Linked DNA regions of Anolis sagrei. The protein of the gene in region 2 interacts with the protein of the main gene of each other region in a biochemical or structural test. Links are inferred from orthologs where the notes say so. Each region holds a gene or a part of one and is shown on either strand. Other genes may lie near its edges.

The links. The genes of interacting proteins can lie anywhere in the genome.
Region 1: the proteins of RDX (region 2) and ARHGDIA form a complex in vitro, tested with the Homo sapiens proteins (2 studies listed by BioGRID and IntAct). The link is inferred for Anolis sagrei from reciprocal best matches to the Homo sapiens genes RDX and ARHGDIA.

What each region holds. Positions count from the first base shown.
Region 1 is NC_090022.1:113,649,078-113,659,759, forward strand, and holds the start of ARHGDIA (rho GDP-dissociation inhibitor 1), read right to left. Parts: upstream 3,969-10,682; 5' UTR 3,862-3,968; intron 1-3,861. Other genes in the region: ALYREF (THO complex subunit 4), read right to left, coding at 8,161-8,175, 9,781-9,952, 10,368-10,431. UniProt on the Homo sapiens protein: Controls Rho proteins homeostasis. Regulates the GDP/GTP exchange reaction of the Rho proteins by inhibiting the dissociation of GDP from them, and the subsequent binding of GTP to them.
Region 2 is NC_090023.1:27,273,309-27,283,958, forward strand, and holds the start of RDX (radixin), read right to left. Parts: upstream 4,793-10,650; 5' UTR 4,555-4,792; intron 1-4,554. UniProt on the Homo sapiens protein: Probably plays a crucial role in the binding of the barbed end of actin filaments to the plasma membrane.

The sequences.
Region 1 (10,682 bases), on a different chromosome or scaffold from region 2:
GGTGTTACCAGACTTCAACTAGACAGTATAGTAAATACTGAGAAGTAGCCCAGAAACATTAAGGGGCTTCGTATTCTTCAACATTTGAAGACAAACACAGCAAGAGAGGGGATGTATATTCCCTCTTCATATGCATTGTGTGCAAATATACAACAACTCTTTCGCTAGGGTACGTACTGCATTTAAGCAGCTTTACTCTCTTTATCATAAATAACGACAATTTGGAGGATGATTGTTTTAGAGCCTCATCCTTTATTGTGTGCAGAAGCATCTTCACACACAACAGAACGTTTGTTTGTTTGTTTTTTAACCACCATCTGCAGATCTGAGAAGTTCACATCTGGTTTTCATATGCTTTGCTAAAAATATGAGTAACTTGTGCAGATAATACTTATATGTTTGGCAGGCACCTCTATGCTCTAAAAGCTAACTAGAGAACAATTAGTATGACAGCCATTTAGCTGAGATAATGAGGACACTGACCTGGCATCCTACTTTCTAAATCCCCAAAATAGACTGCAATTTCCTTAGTCATTTTAACATTTTAGGGTCATTAAATCAGATGCCAAAAAGTGAAAGCCATGTGCAATATAATCTGCACAAAAATATATGTTTGCTGAACTTTGCATTCAATAATGATCCAACTGCTGAAACCTTAACAGCAGGTATTATACCCTGTGATGTTTCTGAATGTGTAGCAACAGTTGTATGGCCCGCAAGTGATTATTGTATATAGGTGACTACAATAGTCACCTCTTAAAAGAAATCAGCTCTCACAGAAGATTTATTTTATAATAGGGATCCCCAAACCAAGGCCCATGGGGTGGATGCGGTCCTTCGAGGTCATTTACCCAGTCCGACCTAAATTTATACTTAGGGTCACCCTAAGTCTGAAATGACTTGAAGGCACACAATAACAATTGTAATTAACTTGACAAATCTCTTTAGCCAAAAGCAGGCCCACTCTTCCCACTGAAATACTGATAAATTTATGTTGGTGAAAACTGTTCTTCATTTAAAATATTGTGTTGTCCTTTCATAGTTTTTTGCACTACAAATAAGATACGTGCAGTGCACACAGGAATTCGTTCACTTTTTTTTCAAACTACAGTCCAGCCCCTAACAATCTGAGGGACCATGAACTGGTCCTCTGCTTAAAAGGTATTTTGCATTATAAGCTTCTGCCTCGGTCTATAACGCAGCAGCCACATGGAGACACTATGTGTCAGAGAAAGGGCTCAAAGTCAAAGACAGGCTTCCAAATATCTCTAGCTGTCAAGGCCACAAGGGATATCACACAAAATACTCAAGAAAGAAAGAAAGAAACTGTGGAACAAATAGCGGTAAAAGTATGAAAGCTGGGACCGAGTGCTAGTAGTGCTATGCTGATTCCGGAATGGTGGTTGTGAATGAGGACCAGGTGTGTGACCACGTGGTCAAGAGAATGGGCGGAATGAGAGATGCATGCGGATTCCTTTACTTCCCTTAAGCACAATGCTCCTCTGTTTATTGTTCCCCTTTCTTTCTGTTCCCCCCCCCTTTCTGACCCGTGATGGGGTCATCTTCCATTCCTCTATTCTGAACCGCCTTGCTCACGTAGCGTACCGTTAGGTCCCAGCTATACTATCACCGACCTGTTAAATTACTTCACTGTTATTTGTGTCCCGCTTGCATTAACTGAGTTCAGTGGTATCCTGCTGCCACATTACGCTATCAGCGTTGACGAAGCAGCATTGCGGAATCAGCATAACGCTTCCAGCACTTGGTCCCAGCTATCATACTTTCACCCAAATAAGAATTGCTTCCTTGCATCAAGGGCAGGAGTTATAGTTTAGGAGAAGCATAACCAAGACATATAGAATTCTTCAGCTTCCTGCCATAAAAGATTGAATTATTCTCAGCTGAATCCTCTTGAACTTGCTCCACATGAATTCTGGCTATATAAGCCTTCTCGACACAAGAAGAAAGTTCTAATGCTGAACTATCCCTGCCTACTTTAAAGGCTTTGAAACAGTATGAATCATTTCCCTGGCCACAGCAGTTCCCGTTAAGGAGGAGAGGCATTCCTCTTCAAGTCTACCTGAAAAGCAACCATTCATTCTGTCCATCTAAACCAGTGGTTCTCAACCTGTGGGTCCCCAGATGTTTGGCCTTCAATCCCCAGAAATCCTAATAGCTGGTAAACTGGTTGGGATTTTTGGGAGTTGTAGGCCAAAACACCTGGGGACCCACAGGCTGAGAACCACTGATAACCTAGCAACATGGGGGTTAATGTACTGCCGAAGGCTTTCATGGCTGGAATCACTGGGTTGTTGTAGGTTTTTCGGGCTGCATGGCCATGTTCTAGAAGCATTCTCTCCCGATGTTTCACCTGCATCTGTGGCAGGCATCCTCACACCTCACAACCTCTGAGGATGCCTGCTATAGATGCAGGCGAAACATCAGGAGAGAATGCTTCTAGAACATGGCCATCCAACCCAAAAAACCTACAACAACCCAACATGGGAATAAATGACAAGGGAATAAATGAACTACACAACACATCCTGATATGCCCTGACTCCAGCGAACACTAATACCACATACTGGCTGAAATGAAGCCCTGATCCATATCTATGCCCATTTACATCCCAAGATTTTTTCCCCTTCAGTGATTATAAAATCTCATATCAAAAGCAACCAAGCTTTTTAAAGTAGCTTAGAAATGACAAAGAATGGTTTCACACTTAGAATCACAAGAGTTGGAAGAGACCTCGTGGGCCATCCAGTCCAACCCCCAGTCAAGAAGCTGGAAAATCGCATTCAAAGCACCCCTGACAGATGGCCATCCAGCCTCTGCTTAAAAGTCTCCAAAGAAGGAGCCTCCACCGTGCTCCCGGGCAGAGAGTTCCACTGCTGAATGGCTCTCACAGTCAGGAAGTTCTTCCTAATGTTCAGGTGGAATCTCCTTTCCTGTAGTTTGAAGACAATATTCTGCATCCTAGTCCCCAGGGCAGCAGAAAACAAGCTTGCTCCTTCTTCCCTATGACTTTCCCTCACATATTCATACCTGGCCCTCATCATGTCTCCTTTCAGCCTTCTCTTCTGCAGGCTAAATATGCCCAGCTCTTTAAGCCACTCCTCATAGGGCTTGTTCTCCAGACCCTTGATGATTTTAGTCACCTATGACTTCCTCTCCCATATTTAATGGATACCATTCAAGAAACAGTGGGGCTTAAAAGGTATGAGATCCATCCCTGTCCCAAAGCATCCCTGCAAACAAGGTAGTGGTGCATGCACGGTATAGCGAAGATAGAGGCACTGCAGCAAATAGAAACCCGAATGGAGGTACATAGGAAGCTTTGCTTTCGGGCGCATACACCCTGATGAACTAATGCAGTCTGACCCCACTGACACTGCCCTGACTTAAGGCTATGGGATCCTGGGAGGTGTGTTTTTTTCCAAGGCCTTTAGTCCCTTCTGCCCAGGAGTGATGGTCCCTGGCTGAGAGGCCAATCCCGGGCTGCGAGAGCACTGAGGCAGGGCCGTGAGAGTGGTGTCCAACCGCAGTGTAGCTGCTGCCCGCTTTGTCTTGGCCTCCCTCCCCGCCCCGCAGAGAGCGCTCAGGGGCAGCCTGGCAGGCACGAGGCCAAGGCCGGTTTGTGGGAGGGAGCCCTGAGGCGCAGAAGGCTCCAAGGAAAGGAAAGGAAAGGAAAGGAAAGGAAGGGACCCCTCCTCGCGGGACCCACAAAGGGCCGGCCCGAGAGCGGCGGCACGCCCTTCCCGCTTCAGGGGCACCGCAGCCGTCCCAGGGAGGGGGAAAAGAGGGCGGAAGAAGGCCCGAGAAAGAGGCCCTTCCCTCGCTCGCCGGCACCCGCCTCACCTCCTCCTCCTCCTCGCCGCCGCCGCTGCTCCTGCTGCCACCTCCGGTGACAAGCGCCGCCGCCACCGCCCAAAATCCTCCACCCCGCCCCTGCGCGCGCACGCCTGCCCGCCCCCTTACTTCCGCGGTGCCACCTGACGTCACTTCCGGGTTTTTCCCCCCTTCATAACTCGCTCCACCCTTGTTTTGGATATAGAGTCCACTTCCGTCCTGCGCGCCCTACGTTGGTTACCAAGACGAAGGGAAGGAACTGCCAGCAAGCGAGCGGAGATCCTAGAGGGGCCCTTAGGAAAAAAAGTACCTTGAGGAAAGCTGAGTTGTGCTCTTCCTGGTGGAACAGAGCCCATTGTGGTGAATAAAGGGTGTCAGACCGCTAAGGAACCGCTAAGAGAGCCGCTTTGGCGCTGGATATTGGGGGTGCTTTTGGATCTGGCTCCTTCATCACGCTATCCACTTTAAATCCGGTTTCTTTAAAGGCTCTTCCCTAAACTACAAACCCCAGAATTCTGCAGGAGGCAGAAACCGGATTTAAAGTGGATTCATTCGCTAGTGTGATGAGGTCCCAGTTTGTGAATGAGTTCACCCAAGTATGTTTTTTCTTTGTGTCAGGAGCGACTTGAGAAACTGCAAGTTGCTTCTGGTGTGAGACAATTGGCCGTCTGCAAGGATGTTGTCCAGGGGACGCCTGGATGTTTTACCATCCGGTGGGAGGCTTCTCATGTGAAGCTGGATCCCATCTTGAAGATCCGAACCACTGACCTTCAGGTTAGCAGTCCTGTTGGCACAAGGGTTTAACTTACATGTCCGAACGCATCTCTCCTTATGAACCATCTAGGGCCTTAAGATTACCTGGGAAGGCCCTGCTCTCATTACCACCTTTGTTACCTTCGTATGTTTGGTGGAGACGAGAGACAGGACCTTCTTGGTGGTAGCCCCTCGGCTATGGAATGCCCTTCCTATAGATATTAGATCGGTCACCTCCCTTTTAACATTCTGGAAAAAAGTCAAGACATGGCTTTTTGAACAAGTGTTTCCAAATGTAGAATAACTGACATAGGAAAATGTCAGTTAGTCAAATGACAATGAGACCAGACATTTTTAACAAGGAGACACTATAAATTTATATTTTATTGATTTGTTTTAGTTTTTATTTGTTTAGTTTTTATTATTTGTTTTGTTTTTAATTATATTTATGATATTGTAAGCATTGAATTTTACTCTGATAACCGCTTTGAGTTGCCTACGGGCTGAGAAAGGCGGTATACAAATACAGTAAATAAATAATAACCCATTGCACCACCAAAGGCTCATCACCCAGGGATGAGGCCAGTCAATCAATAAATATTTGTGCCACTGAAGGGAGGATCCAATTGTCTCCCAGCAGATTGTGGATGCATCTACAATATACTATGGAACGAATGAAGTTTGACACAGCATTAACTGCTAAAGCTCAGTGTCCTAGAATCATGGAATTTGTAGTTTGGTAAGGCCCAGTATTCTTTGGCAGAAAAGGCTTTGCTTTGTTAAACTCCAGCTTTTATGATTCCATAGCATTGAGCCAAGGCAAATAGAGGAGTGTCTACTGCATGGATTCTACTGTGTTCACAATAGAATCACAGTAGAAACTTTGCCACCCCCAGGTTTTGTGGACTTCAACTCCCATAATTCCAAACAGTTAGTTTGGAATTGTGGTATGAACCTGCAAGGCCATTAAATGCTAATCAAGGTGGTCAATTGCAACATTCACACTTGCTACAAGCAGACAAGAGTTCTTAATGCACCCTTGACATTCCAGATATATAAACCCCCCTTGCCTAGACTCCAACAAATCTCAAAACCTCTGATAATGCCTGCCATAGATGTGGGCGAAATGTCGAGAGAATGCTTCTGGAACATCGCCATACAGCCTGGAAAACTCACAGCAACCCAGTGATTCCGGCCATGAAAGCCTTTGAGAACCCAGCTGGTAGGCTGTTACAAATTGTGGAAGTTCAAAAGTCCTGGGAGGATGTCCATGTCTGGTGTAGGTGCATGACCATGTCAACATTTTCAGTGCTGTGGTGTCTTTGGCTGCATAAAATCAGACTTGCTTGCTTGCAGCTATTGGTTCTAACTCGGGTTTAAACCACCAGGAGCACCTTCCGTCTCTTTACAGTGTATTGTAATGTAATAGGGCAACGTATCAGGCTCTGTAGCAGGGCAAACCCCTGAATGATGATGAATTCTTAAGGTGAAACTTAGCATGGGAAGTGTGCATCTAAGGTCCTGCTACAATTCTTCCTATGGATGTAAAGAAACTTTCTTGACATTACAGAAACAGTAATGTCAAGAAATTCAATAGTGCCTCTTCATTGGCCTCAGGAATGATATGTTTAAGCTCCCAAGTCAGTGACCGAAACAAGCAGCAGTCCACCATTGTATCACATGTATATTCTACTGTGAGTGAATGAACTTGTTCTTTATTACTTTCACGGCCACTAATAAAGACCTAAACAAACAAATCTAAGCCATGTCATGGCAATTAGATTGTGGCTTGTGGTATTTCAACTCGAGCCTGTTTGGTACAAATGTTCTATCAATTTTCAAAAATATTTTTAAAGAACCATGCTAAATTTGCATGCAGTACAAAGAGGTTTAAACTAGAATTCTCCATTACCCGTTCTTTAAAGGGGATCTCTATGTTGTACAAAAATATATGGTCTTATTCAAAAATATTGTTTCAAGATGCCATGTTTTGAGAACACCTTGCTCTATTTCTTAAATGAACACGGAGAAAATATCTTGATATTGGAAGACTCAAAGACTTGTCTGAGTTTTAAAGCCAAAGAAATATTTCACCACATGCTGAAGTTATGCGAGACTCCCCCCCCCCCCAATTAATATACTTTCTACACCAAATGTATATCATTATGAACAGGAACAGTTCTTTCAATGTTGTTTCAAATTCTGAAACTATTTACCATGATTATATTTTGCCTAATTATTTAGCAAGTTATCTATATATCATCTTTTAGACATTTAAACTGTGTCTTAAATTGATCATAGTGATATTATTGTAAACCTTCCCAAACTCTTTAGATCAAAGGAGGATATAAATATTTTAATAGATAAATCTAGATGTCCTACGACCACATTGAGCCATTTTTGCTAAATGTTTTCTTTTGACATCTGTGTTCAAAAGCAATATTTAAGGATTGGTCATTAAGTGTTGTGTAACTTTGCTATATTACTGTGCCATTTTTTTTTCAAATTACTGATGTAGCCACATTCCTTTGAGCATTAGAAAGCCATTGGCACAATACTATTCAGAAATTAATCTGAGATTTCAAAACTGATTCTTATTTGTCAAAACCCCCTATTATGGATGAAAAGATTATAATTCTACCTGCTGGTAGTGTTGCTATGTTATTCAGTTTATACCATTTGATTTGTAACACATTATTTTGACAGGTATTCTGTTTCCTCCCCGCCCTCCCCATTACTAGTACATAAGAACGAATAATAAAATTGCCAGAAAATTATGTGAAATAAGAATTCAGCAGGGAGTTGCAAGTTGAAAGACTAAATCTTTACTTGGCATGTTGGAGTCACTGAATTATCACAGTAACCATTTTACAGTAAAAATACTGAAGTGGGACCAGCACTGAACTTTGGAATCAAGTGTTTAATACAAAAATGACTTCAACAAGGGTTCTCCCCCTCTCCTTGATCACAAAGGGTAGATAGAGCCTTTTCATTGGATTCTACCCCCCACCTCCCTGAAAAAGTAGTCACACTGTTTGGCTTTAGCATAGAAAGGAGGAAGATAAACACACAGGAGATTGGAGATACAGAGTTTGTAAGCCCCAGCTGGTGGAGAGAGATCTGAATCTCTCCCTATGGGAAGCACAATGAGCACCAACACTTTTGCTAGGGGCCTGCAGGCAGATAGTTGCTCCCCTACCCGTCTTGGTTTCTGCAGTCTCAAAGCTGGACTCCAGCTGCAACAGGAAGCAGACATTTACAGCTCTAGACACATTTCTATTTTATTATTGCCATGGTTAAAAAGTCACCGTGGCCCAACTGGCAACCAGTAAATTTTTTCCCAAAAAATAACTCAGTACAAAACAGATCTGTTCCAGAATTTAAAAAAAAGAAAGAAACCTTTACATGAGTTTAAAACCTATTCCAAAACATAAAAGTAAAACAAATTCCATTCTTGATATTAGTAGCCGCCGCCATACACCTTTCCCCCTCCCGCTGGGGAGCATGGAATGAGATGTCTGCAGTCCTTCCCATGCACATGATGCACCAACAGGTTTAACTGGTGTCCATCTATGAAGGAAAAAAAACAGTTACTTGGTTGCTATCAGCTTAGGAAAAAGACAAGAAAGCCATAGGTTTGAGCAAACCCACTCCCCAGCAGCATAGATCAATCAAACCAATTATCACTTTGATTTTTTTTAAAAACCCAAGCTCTATTGTTTCCCCATCAAGATGGCAACATGCATTTCTTAGAGAACATCTTCAAAATACTGTATTTTTTTATTCTAAGACAGCAGTTGTAAGATACACACTACTTTCAGTACTACCAAGAAAAAACAAGGCCATATTTATATACATAAAAGGGCAACTGTGATTTTAAGGTGCATCCCATTTTTAGATATCTTTCTATGGCGAAAATGTTACTATAACTAAAGCGTGAGTCCACATTTTAAATACTTGTTTAATGATCATTTAATTAAAAATATCCTCCATATTATTATCAGTGATCACTATTTTACAGTGACAGTTTAACAAAAAAATTATAAAATTTCAAATATGTTGCTATTAATACAGAATCAACCCCAAAATATATTCCAAGTGCAAGAGCTACAACTTTTCACAGCAGTAGCATATCTGGTAAACTGTTGGTAAAGAAACTCCACAATGTCCAAATAAGTTATTTAATGTACCGTATATAGTCATGTATAAGTCAATCACATGTCAAGTGCACATCTTGAGGCTAAAATGATGGATTTTGATATGACCTGTGTGTGAATTGAGGGTCAATATGTGAAGAAGGGAAAACACCCTTTCAGGGCCACCTGACTCTGGCTACCACTACCATTTTCCCATCTAGGCATTCAAAAGGGCTAGAAGCCGTGCCACAGTCGAGGTGGGGGGGTTGGTCCTTCTTTTAAGTTCTCCCATATGAACTAAGCTCTTGATCTTTGCCAGTCCACTCCCAAGAAGAGAATGAATGCTTTTTAGAAAGGAGTTACATTATTTGTGGTCCCAGGGTTTTGGGGGCTGATTTCTTGACTAAAAGTTTAGACTTACACTTGAGTATATATTAGAAATGAATAAAACATACTATTAATAAATCAAGTAATCACAAGCATACTGCGTAAAGATCTCTATTTAATACTGCACAATTTCACTATGCCAGCTAATGGAAATCTAAAATCTAAATCCACACAGTATTTGAAGCTCAAGGGATATGGAATTAACACACACACATGCTGCCAGCGAGATTCTAATTTTGAATCATGTCTAGATGATTTGAATAGGAGACTACAAAGCAGCAGACTGTGAAAGATGTGAAACTGTGGAAGATGTCACTTTGCAAACTCTGATATATTGAACCAGCATTCTACTATAAAGTTCAGTGATTTGTAAAATCTAATAGTTGATTTTACAAGAAACACACTTTGTCTTGCTGGAACTTCTCTACATACATGAGATCAGTTCATACATTCAATAAAAAGGGCAGTAAGTAGAAATGCAAGGAAAAGCACAACATACATCCCAGCATCCAGGCAAAATTACTACCATATTCATGTATTGTACTTTTTTTTGAAGCTGTACCCTTTCATCGGAAGACCAATACCACTAGCTTGCACCACTAATACTAACAGACTCATTTGTCCCTCTCCCCCAGCTCCTGCTGGTACTTACCCTGGCATTGTAAGCATCCAACTGTGCATCCAATTCTTCAGCAGAGAGTTGCTGTTTGGAACTTCTGCCTGCACCTCGACCTCTCCCTCTGCCACCACGGCTACCTCGTCTGTTGCCACCACCAAAGCCACCTGATCCACCACGGTTTCTGGTCATGCCTCCTCTATTTATGCTAAAATCAAAAGAAAGACTAAATTAGAAGCACAGTAAGTAATTTGAAAAAGGGAAAATACAAGTTATATATTCTATGAAGTACTCTGAAAGTAGATGAAGTATGGCAACATGGCTGAAAGTTTTAAAAATCATTCTGAAAAACCCACAAGGATTCAGGATAGGAAGTGCTCTTATGCAATCAAAATTCATATAGCATTCCTTTTTAGCAGTTCCTAAAGCTGAAGTTACTACGTAACATTAATTAGCAGGCATCATTTAATTGTATTTTTAAATTGTTTTCCTTTTATGCTCTGTCTTTAGGCACCTTGTGCTGTGTGTAAGCCGCCTCAAGTCCCTTCGGGGAGATGGTGGCGGTATAAAAGAACAAACTTATTATTATTATCATCATCATCAATAAAGATTAAATCTCCTACCTCTGTATTGGTCTCCTCTGTGTATCTATTTGTGATGTAACCAGTTGGATATTCATGGGACGTCCTAAAAATAAAAAGGATATGCATCACAAGGGTTATTAGTCCAAAAACCTTACTAGTCTGTAAAATAATGCTAAAATACTTCTTTCAAGAACCAAGGGTTGGAAGCTTCTCAGGACCATACCATTTTAAACTGTCTTCTTGGTTTCTATGCCAAAAAAAACAGATTCTCCATTCTTCCTTTGCCACCCTCTTACATAGAATAATACATACACACTCCAAACACATTTCCTTGTTATTTGTAGCTACCAGAGA
Region 2 (10,650 bases):
AACCTTGCCTCCTTGGTGTGGGAAGAAAAGGAAGATACAAAGAGCCTGGATAGAAATTTCTGACCTCAATGTACAATTACTGCTTCCTCCAATTGCTGGCAACCTCTTGGGACTCTTCCCACACCCAAGAGACTGTGACGGAGGGGGCTGGGTAGACATTTGGTAGCTGCTGACATGCAAAACGTGTTAACAGTGTGCTTGTCCCCATTTGCAACAAGTAGACAAGCCACATGGTGGAGATGTTTTTAGTTCATCTTCCTCCTTTACCCCTAGGCATTTCCTCCACTCCATAAAATGATTAGTTTTACTGCACACATAGAAAGAGTGGGAAGAACAAAAACATCTTGATCCCTCTTGGATAGTAGTTGACTAAACAAGTTTATATTGGAAATCTCATAGCAAACAGTTCAAACACAGTTCCTAACCAAACACAAGAACTTCAGCTTGGACTGCGAAAGACCTGCTGCTGGATCTCAGGGATGCTTTCCATTATACAAAAAATGAGTTACTCCTGAGATATTCAGTGAAATCTTCCTTTACTCCCTACAAATTAGGCTGCCCAGCTTCTATCCCAAAGGGCACTTTGTTGTTACGAATCTTCAAGCTATAGCTGATTTATGGCGAACCTATCATGGGGTTTTCTTGGCAAGACTTGTTCAGAGAGAGTTTACCATGATTGCTTTCTTCTTACTTGTTTTTAGGTCCCACTGTGCTCAGGCAAGCAACTTTCCGTAAATGTATGACAACCTTAAGATCCTTCCCACACAGTAGCCAAGAAATCCAAAGAAATGAAAAAGGTGGGGAGAATAAATGAAAAGAGGTCTGACCCCTTTTTTTGCCTCATTTTGACACACAAGCACTTGATCAAACTACATAGAGACCTTTCATCAAATGTTAGCACAGTGCATGAATCAGTGACACTTTTTACTTCAAGGAAGGGAGGTGGGAAAGGGAGAGACGGAAGGCAAAGAAAAGGAGAAGGCAGGGAATAAAAGGAGCCACTCTGGGATGGGAAATGGCCAGGGCGGAGGAATTATATCCAGCTCTTAAAAACAGGAGGAGGAAATTCCAGGGGCCAGTCCGAACTGCAGAATTATAGCAGATTGACACCACTTTAACTGCCACGGCTCGATGCTATGGGGTTCTGGGAGGTGTAGTTTGCTGAGACATTAGCACTCTTACCATAACCGGCTGTTAGGAATTGTGGGAGTTAAAGTCCAAAACACCTGGAGGGCCAACATTTGCCCTAACTAGCTATGTGTTGAAGTCCAAAACATCTGGAGCGCCGAAGTTGGCTCATGTCTGGCGTAGAACTAGGATTCCACAACACGGAGCTATGGCAATCAATGTGGTATCAAACCATTCATTCTATAGTGTAGAGATTTGCTGTAGCACCCGAGAAGGCAAAATATCCCACCAAACTGTAAATCCCAGAATTCTATAAAACTAAGACGTTCTAGTTAAAAGTGGTGCCACTGCTGCAACAATGCAGCAGTGGCTTACATCTCTGGCGGGTGAAAGGGTCTGGCCCCTTATTTGGGTATTTTTTTTATTATGTCTGTTTTATGTGGCATCTAACTGTTACCTATTGTAAGGTCACTCTGAGTCCCCTTTGGAGTGAGAAAGGTGGGCTAGAAATATAGTAAAATAAATAAATAAATATTGAAGTGCATAGTACAATAAATAATAAATAAATATTATAATAAATAAATAAATAAATAAATATTGCAGCATAGTATAATATAGTAATATATAACACTAATATTGTGCTGTGCTAATAATATAATATATTGTATGTACTTATAACATTAATCATAATACTGTAATATAGGCATCCTCAAACTGCACCCCTCCAGCTGTTTAGGCCTTCAACTCCCAGAATTCCTGACAAATGAACAAGCTTGTTAGAGCTTCTGGGAGTTGGAGGCCCAAACAACTGGAGGGCTGCAGTTTGAGGATGCCTGCTGTAATACAATATAATACTAATAATAATTCAATATAATAATTATTATTTATTATATATTACATGTAATACTACTAATTATATTGCAGCATAGTACAATATAGTACTATATACTAATATTGTGCTATGCTAATATTATATATTGCATGTACATATAATATTGATCATAATACCGTAATACAATATAATACTACTAATACAATATAATAATATTATTATATATTATATATTACATGTAATATTACTAATAACAATGCAGTATAGTGGTACAATACAATATAGTTATATATAATACTAATATTGTGCTATGCTAATAATATAATATGTTATATGTACCTATAATATTGATCATAATAGCAAAATATAATATAATAGTAATATATAAATTTTTTTTGTCGTGTCAGGAGTGACCTGAGAAACTGCAAGTCGCTTCTGGTGTGAGAGAATTGGCCGTCTGCAAGGACATTGCCCAAGGGACGCCCGGATGATTTGATGTTTTATCATCCTTGTGGGAGGCTTCTCACATGTCTTCGCATGAGGAGCTGGAGCTGTTAGAGGGAGCTCATCCGCCTCTCCCTGGATTCGAACCTGGGACCTGTCGGTCTTGAGTCCTGCCGGCACAAGGGTTTAACCCACTGCGCCACCGGGGGCTCCATATATAATACTAACAATATAATACTAATATATAATACTAATACTAATATAATACATATATAATACTAATAGTGTGCTATAACAATAATATAATCTAATATATTGTATTGTACATATAACTTGTAAACAGGGGCGGCTCAACTATTATGCAAAGTAAGCCTTTGCAGTATAGTTGATTTTGCCCAGGGGCGCTCTTGAGGCGCTCTTGGGGGAAAATAGACCTTGACATATGCGAGTTGTAGTTACTGGGATGTATAGTTCACCTACAATCAAAGAGCATTCTGAACTCCACCAATGATGGAATTGAACCAAATATGGCACACAGAACTCCTACGACGAACAGAAAATATATATCAGTGATTGGTTGGGGAGGGGGGTGCCAAAATACTGTTTGCTTACCATTGAAAATTACTTAGGGTCGCCTCTGCTTGTAAGCCGCTCTGTATCCCCTTCAGGGTGAGAAGGGTGGGGTATAAATGCCATAGTCACTGCTGAATGTTTTTATGTTGAATGTTTTATGTTGAATGTTTTTATATTGAATGTTTTTATATTGAATGTTTTATATTGTGTATAAACTGTTTTAAATTGTAAGTCGCTCGGAGCACCTTGGAGGAGAGTGACTAATTAAGAAATAAAGTGATGATGATGATATAAATGTCGTAAATGAATAAATAATAAATAAATAAATAAGGGAAGCCTGGGCTCCTTGTCGCCTCTTCCACAAAAGCTAAGGCTCACCAATGCAGTTCGACACCACTTCCAAGCGCCAAGGCTCAACGCTGGAAGTTGTAGTTTGCAGTTTAGAGAAGGCTAAGGACATTTTAAAATTAGGACTCCTGGGATTCCATAGCGGTGAGCCGTGGATGCTAAAAGTGGTGCCAAACTGCATTAATTCTGCAGTGTAGAGCAGGCCTGGGCAAACTTGGGCCCTCCAGGTGTTTTGGACTGCATCTCCCACCATTCCTAACAGCCTCAGGCCCCTTCCTTTTCCTCCTCTGCCTCTTAAGCTTAGGAATGGTGGGAGTTGCAGTCCAAAACACTTGGAGGGCCCAAGTTTGGCCATGCTTGATGTAGAGCAGTGGTTCTCAACCTTCCTAATGCCATGACCCCTTAATACAGTCCCTCATGTTGTGGTGACCCCCAACCATAATATTGTTTTCGTTGCTACTTCATAACAGTCATTTTGCTACTGTTATAAATCATAATGTAAATATCTGATATGCAAGATGTATTTTCATTCACTGGACCAAACTGGGCACAAATACCCAATACACCCAAATGTGAATGCTAGTGGGGTTGGGGGAGGATTGATTTTGTAATTTGGGAGTTGTAGTTGCTGGGATTTATAGTTCACTTATAATCAAAGAGCATTCTGAACTCCACCAGCGATGGATTTGAACCAAACTTGGTTCCCATGACCTATGGAAAACACTGGAAGGGTTTGATGGGCATGGACCTTGAGTTTGGGAGTTGTAGTTCACCTATATCCAGGGAGCACTGTGGACTCATGCTATGGTGGATCTGGACCAAACTTGGCACGAATACTCAATATGCCCAAATGTGAACACTGGTGGAGTCTGGGGAAAATAGATCTTGACATTTGGGAGTTGTAGTTGCTGGGCTTTATAGTTCATTACAATCAAAGAACATTCTGAACCCCACCAATGATAGAATTGGCTCAAACTTCCCACATGGAATCCCCATTACTATCGGAAAATACTGTTTTTTATGGTCTTTGGCGACCCCTCTGACACCCCCTCGCGACCCCCTCAGGGGTCCCGACCCCCAAGTTGAGAAACACTGATGTAGAGGCTCCCCTACTTATCTAAACCGCTAGAAACTCCATGTGCATCCCAGGCGTTTGAGGAGAACGGCGAGGGAGGGAGGCAGGGCAAGAGCAAGGCCTGAGGCAAGCCGCCGGCGTCCTTCCTTCTTACCTCCCTGGCGGGGGCTGCGACTTCTCTCTCCTCTTGGCCGGCCTTTTGGTCTCCCGGCGGCCTTGGGCGTCAAGAGGGCGGCAGAGCCGGCCAGGAGGCGCTGCGGGGCCGCTCCGAGCGCCACTCTTCTCCTCAGGGCTCCCCAGCTGACTGGCCTCCGGCGCAAAGAGCGGCAAACGCCGCCGCCTCCGCTGACAGCGCCGCAATATGGCGGCCGCGAGCCTTGGGTAGATATATATATATATATATATTTTAATTCTCGCCCCTCTCGGAGTTGTTGGCGCATGCGCACGGAAGGGAGCGAGAAAGGGCGCACGCGCACCGCACTGGGATGAAGCGACTACTCTGAAGTCTATTTGGGGGGAAAGGATGCGTAGGAGAGAGAGAGAGAGAGAGTTGGGAAAGTCGTTAAGGAGCGACCGTTGGTCAGGGTGTCACGTGGGATGAGAGGGGGGCGCGAGGAGCCTATAAAAGGGGATTCCGCCTATAAAAGGGGAGCGCTGAGAGGATTCTCTCCTCATTCTAGAGGGGGAAAGCAAAGTGAAGGGTCCCTTCACATTCAATATAATCAGGCCTCTTCCACGCAGCTGAATAAAATCCAACATTTTCTGCTTTGAATTGGAATATTTATTTATTTATTTAAAAGTTTTGCATACCGACCTTCTCACCTCTCCTGAGGGACTCAGACCGGTTTCCAACCATAATATCACATACAATCAATAAAACATCATAATGCATATTACAGTAAAACATTAAAACAGCAATTACAGTCAATCTAAAAACATATAATAACGAGTTAAAATACATATCAATTAAAATTACAAATAAGTCAAATCGCCAAGATAAAATCATGTCCAACTCAGGCAGTATGTCCAACTCAGTGCGTGTTATCTGAGTGTGGATTCAGATAACCCAGTTCAAAGCAGATATTGTGGGTGTTATTCAATTGTGTAGAAAGGGCCCCAGATAATTCAGGACCCTTCCACACAGCTCCATATCCCAGAATATCAAGGCAGAAAATCCCACATCTGAGTGTGGAGTCAGATAACTCAGTTCAAAGCAGATATTGTGGGTGTTATCCAACTGTGGAAAGGGCCTCAGATAACTCAGGGCCCTGCCACACAGCTCCATATCCCAGAATTTCGAGACAGAAAATCCCACATCAAGGCAGAAAATCCCACATTATCTGAGTGTGAACTCGGCCCTTCCACACAGCCCTATATCCCAGAATATCATGGCAGAAAATCCCACATTATCTGAGTAGCATTTAAGACTTTTAGATCCACTATTTGCTCAAAAGCAATACTACCATCACACCTGCATTTGATTTTTAAAAGCTTGTCAATCATGATGACATTCTGTGCATAGGCATATCAAATATAACTTCTAAAGTCTCTCTGTGTGTGTGCCTTCCACCTTCTTGCATATTTATCAAGGAGATATTTATAAGATATGCAGATGCTGAGCCTCCAGCAAAGGATCACTGCCTTGTCGGGGCGCTGGAGCTTGAGCACCTCAATGATGTCATGAGCGAAACCGTGAAGGGCCACCCAAGACGGGACGGTTGTGGCAGAGAGGTCAGACCAAGCGTGATCCCTGGGGAAGGCAATGGCAAACCACTCCAGTATCCTTGCCAAGAAAACTAAATGGACCAGTACAAACAGAGATATGTCGGTATGCCATTGGAAGATGGGACTCCCAGGTCGGAAGATGGCCAAAATGCTACTGGGGAGGAGCAGAGGATAAGTTCAACTAGCCCCAGATGTGATGACGCAGCTAGCTCAAAGCCGAAAGGAAGGCTAGCGGCCGACGGTACTGGAGGCGAACGACGAATCCGATGCTCTAAAGATCAACACACCATAGGAACCTGGAATGTAAGATCTATGAGCCAGGGCAAATTGGATGTTGTTATTGGTGAGATGTCAAGACTAAAGATAGACATTCTGGGGGTCAGTGAACTGAAATGGACTGGAATGGGCCACTTCACATCAGATGACCACCAGATCTACTACTGTGGACAAGAGGAACATCGAAGAAATGGAGTAGCCTTCATAATTAATAAGAAATTCGCTAAAGCGGTGCTTGGATACAACCCAAAAAATGACAGAATGATCTCAATTCGAGTGCAAGGAAAGCCTTTCAACATCACAGTGATCCAAATATACGCCCCAACCACAGCTGCTGAAGAAGCAGAAGTAGATCAGTTCTATGAGGATCTGCAGGACCTACTGGATAATACACCAAAAAGAGACATTATTTTCATTACAGGAGACTGGAATGCCAAGGTGGGAAGTCAAATGACAACTGGGATCACAGGCAAGCATGGTCTGGGAGAACAAAATGAAGCGGGACGCAGGCTGATAGAATTCTGCCAGGAAAACTCGCTGTGTATAACGAATACTCTCTTCCAACAACCTAAAAGACGGCTTTATACATGGACCTCACCAGATGGTCAACACCGAAATCAGATTGACTACATCCTTTGCAGCCAAAGGTGGCGGACATCCATCCAGTCGGTGAAAACAAGACCTGGGGCTGACTGTAGCTCAGATCACGAACTTCTTATTGCCCAATTTAGAATAAAACTAAAGAGATCAGGGAAAATACACAGACCAGTTAGATATGATCTCACTAACATTCCTAGCGAATATACAGTGGAAGTGAAGAACAGATTTGAAGGACTAGATTTAGTAAACAGAGTCCCAGAAGAACTATGGACAGAAGTCCGCGACATTGTTCAGGAGGCGGTTCAAGTTCATTGTTCAAGTTCTTGGTGGGATGGGCATCCCAAGCCACCTTGTCTCTCTCCTGAGGAATCTGTACAAGGACCAAGTAGCAACAGTCAGAACTGACCACGGAACAACAGACTGGTTCAAGATTGGGAAAGGCGTACGGCAAGGCTGCATACTCTCACCCAACCTTTTTAACTTGTATGCAGAACATATCATGCGATGTGCGGGGCTGGATGAATGCAAAGCTGGGGTGAAAATTGCTGGAAGAAACATTAACAACCTCAGATATGCAGATGACACCACTCTGATGGCCGAAAGCGAGGAGGAGCTGAGGAGCCTTCTAATCAAGGTGAAAGAAGAAAGCGCAAAAGCCGGGTTGCAGCTAAACGTCAAAAAAACCAAGATTATGGCAACAAGAATGATTGACAACTGGAAAATAGAGGGAGAAACCGTGGAGGCCGTGACAGACTTTGTATTTCTAGGTGCAAAGATTACTGCAGATGCAGACTGTGGCCAGGAAATCAGAAGACGCTTACTTCTTGGGAGGAGAGCAATGTCCAGTCTCGATAAAATAGTGAAGAGTAGAGACATCAGACTGGCAACAAAGATCCGCCTAGTCAAAGCCATGGTATTCCCTGTAGTAACCTACGGATGTGAGAGCTGGACCTTAGGGAAGGCTGAGCGAAGGAAGATCGATGCTTTTGAGCTGTGGTGTTGGAGGAAAGTGCTGAGAGTGCCGTGGACTGCGAGAAGATCCAACCAGTCCATCCTCCAGGAAATAAAGCCCAACTGCTCACTGGAGGGAAAGATACTAGAGACAAAGTTGAAGTACTTTGGCCACATCATGAGGAGACAGGAAAGCCTAGAGAAGACAATTATGCTGGGGAAAGTGGAAGGCAAAAGGAAGAGGGGCCGACCAAGGGCAAGATGGATGGATGGCATCCTTGAAGTGACTGGACTGACCTTGAGGGAGCTGGGGGTGGTAACGGCCGACAGGGAGCTCTGGCGTAGGCTGGTCCATGAGGTCACGAAGAGTCGGAGACGACTGAACGAATGAACAACAACAATGCTGAGCAGAAAATGTTTGAAAAGAGTGTGGAATTAGAGATGTTCAGGTAGTCAAGACATCCTGCCTTTTTGATGTTGCTGTTTGACTTCTGCATATGAATTGAGATGTTATCTTTTGCAGAGTCATCAGTGGCTATGGGCCCTTCTACACAGCCCTATGTCTCAGAATATCAAGGCAGAACATCCCACATTATCTGAGTGTGGACTCAGATAACCCAGTTCAAAGCAGATAATCTGGGATTTTCTGCCTTGATCTTCTGGGATATAGGGCTGATATTGTGCCACCCAAAATATCAAGGCAGAAAATCCCACATTATCTGTGTGTGGATTCAGATAACCCAGTTCAAAGCAGATATTGTGGGATTTTCTACCTTGATATTTTGGGATATAGGGCTGTGTGGAAGGGCCCCCAGAATCTCAAGGCAGAAAATCTCACAATATCTGCTTTGAACTGGGTTATCGGAGACCCTCTGCTTTGAACTGGAGATGTGGGGTTTTATTCAGCTGTGTGGAAGGGGCCTCAGATAACTTAGGGTTGCCCTAAGTCTGAAATGACTTGAAGTTACACACAACAACAATCCTTATTAATTGTCGAAGGCTTTCATGGCCGGAATCACTGGGTTGTTGCCCGAAAAAACCTACAACAATCCTAATTAACTTGACTATGTCATCAGAGCATTGAAATACTGGTAAGTTTATGTTGGTTAAAATTATTATTTGTTTTAAATATTGGGTTTTTTGTTGTTGGTTTTTGCACCATAAATACTATTTGTACAGTGTGCATAGGAATTTGTTCTTTAAAAGTTTGTGGATCCGTGTTCTAGACTGATCAGACTCTAGAGTGGAAGGGAAAAGGAACCAGTAATAAAGAAAAATAGTTGGAAATGGGACAGAAGGGACAACAATGTGAGGGTACATTTACTTTGTAGATGACACCACTTTAACTAACTGCCATGGTTCAAAGCTATGGAATCCTGGGAGTTGTAATTTTATAAGACCTCTCACCTGCAGCCAGGGGAGCAGATGGAAATAAGAGGTTTCTCACTGAAGAAAAATTGAATACTAGTACATTAGATGTAAAGTGGGTTTCTTCTCACTATAATTTTTCCCTTGCCACCTAAACTCACTGTATAAAAAACAAAAACAAAACTCAGACCCACTAGAGTTGAATGTTGTCTTTTGAGCATTGTTTCCCTTTCCTCTCTGGTAATAACCAGAAAGAAGCAATGCACAAAGGGAGGCCAAGTTTTCCCCTTTTGTTTTGGATAAAATGCAGTTCGAGGCACAGCAGGAATAAGGGAGAAAAAGAGAGTTCAGGACGAAGAGGGCCAAGAAATAGTTGAGTTACCAAACCTGAGTCATGTAAGAGCTATTAATATAACAGGCTTCTTACAGTCTTCTAAGAGCCTGAGGATGAATAGAGAGAAATTTCCAATTAGAAGACACAGGAAGAAGAGCAAATCAGGAGAAGGGGGAGAAATCTCATTGCAAGGAAGCATATGGTAAAAATGTCCCTTGAGAAGTAATGGGTGCTTCATAATTAAAGTACCATAATCAAATTAGTCAGGGCAAATCATGGATTGATATAGAGTAATCTGATCAAAAGGAGTAGAGCAAGTCGACATCAGATATTTATTGGTCTTATTCATTTCTATAATAAGGCAGATTCCTATCTACATTAAAAAAATATTCAAGCTTTCCCTATTCAATGTAGTAAATATTTAAAACATATATAATTGGCATGCAACAAGGAGCGGATGGCTTTTTTCTTCAAGGGCCCCCTCCCCTCATTGGAAATAGAAATTATAAAATATCCCCTCATGGATATTTTAAAATATTTCTTAACTGATTTTCATTACTATAATTTCTCAAACAATACAGTAACACTTGTAAATGGCAAATTATAAATCTACATTACATTGGATTGGTTTTAAACAACTCTACTAAAATATGATGCCATATAGTTCCAAGATGAGACAGTATGATATAGTGCTTTGGCTACTGGAGTATTATTATTATCATTATTAATATAATTATATTATTCATGTCCTGCTTTTCTCTCTTGATCAAGACCCAATGCAGTTATGGCTCTGGCGACAATGGGTCCCAAGATACCATTATTAGTATTATTTAAAAGGGTATAAAAACAATGTTCCTTTAATCAGAGTGAAATTGTCACCAGGGCTGACTGGTGATGGTGTCATCAAAAGTTTATTTATTTATTTACTTTGCTTATATACCGCTGTTCTCAGCCCGGGGGCAACACACAGCGGTGTACAACATAGAAGGAACAAAA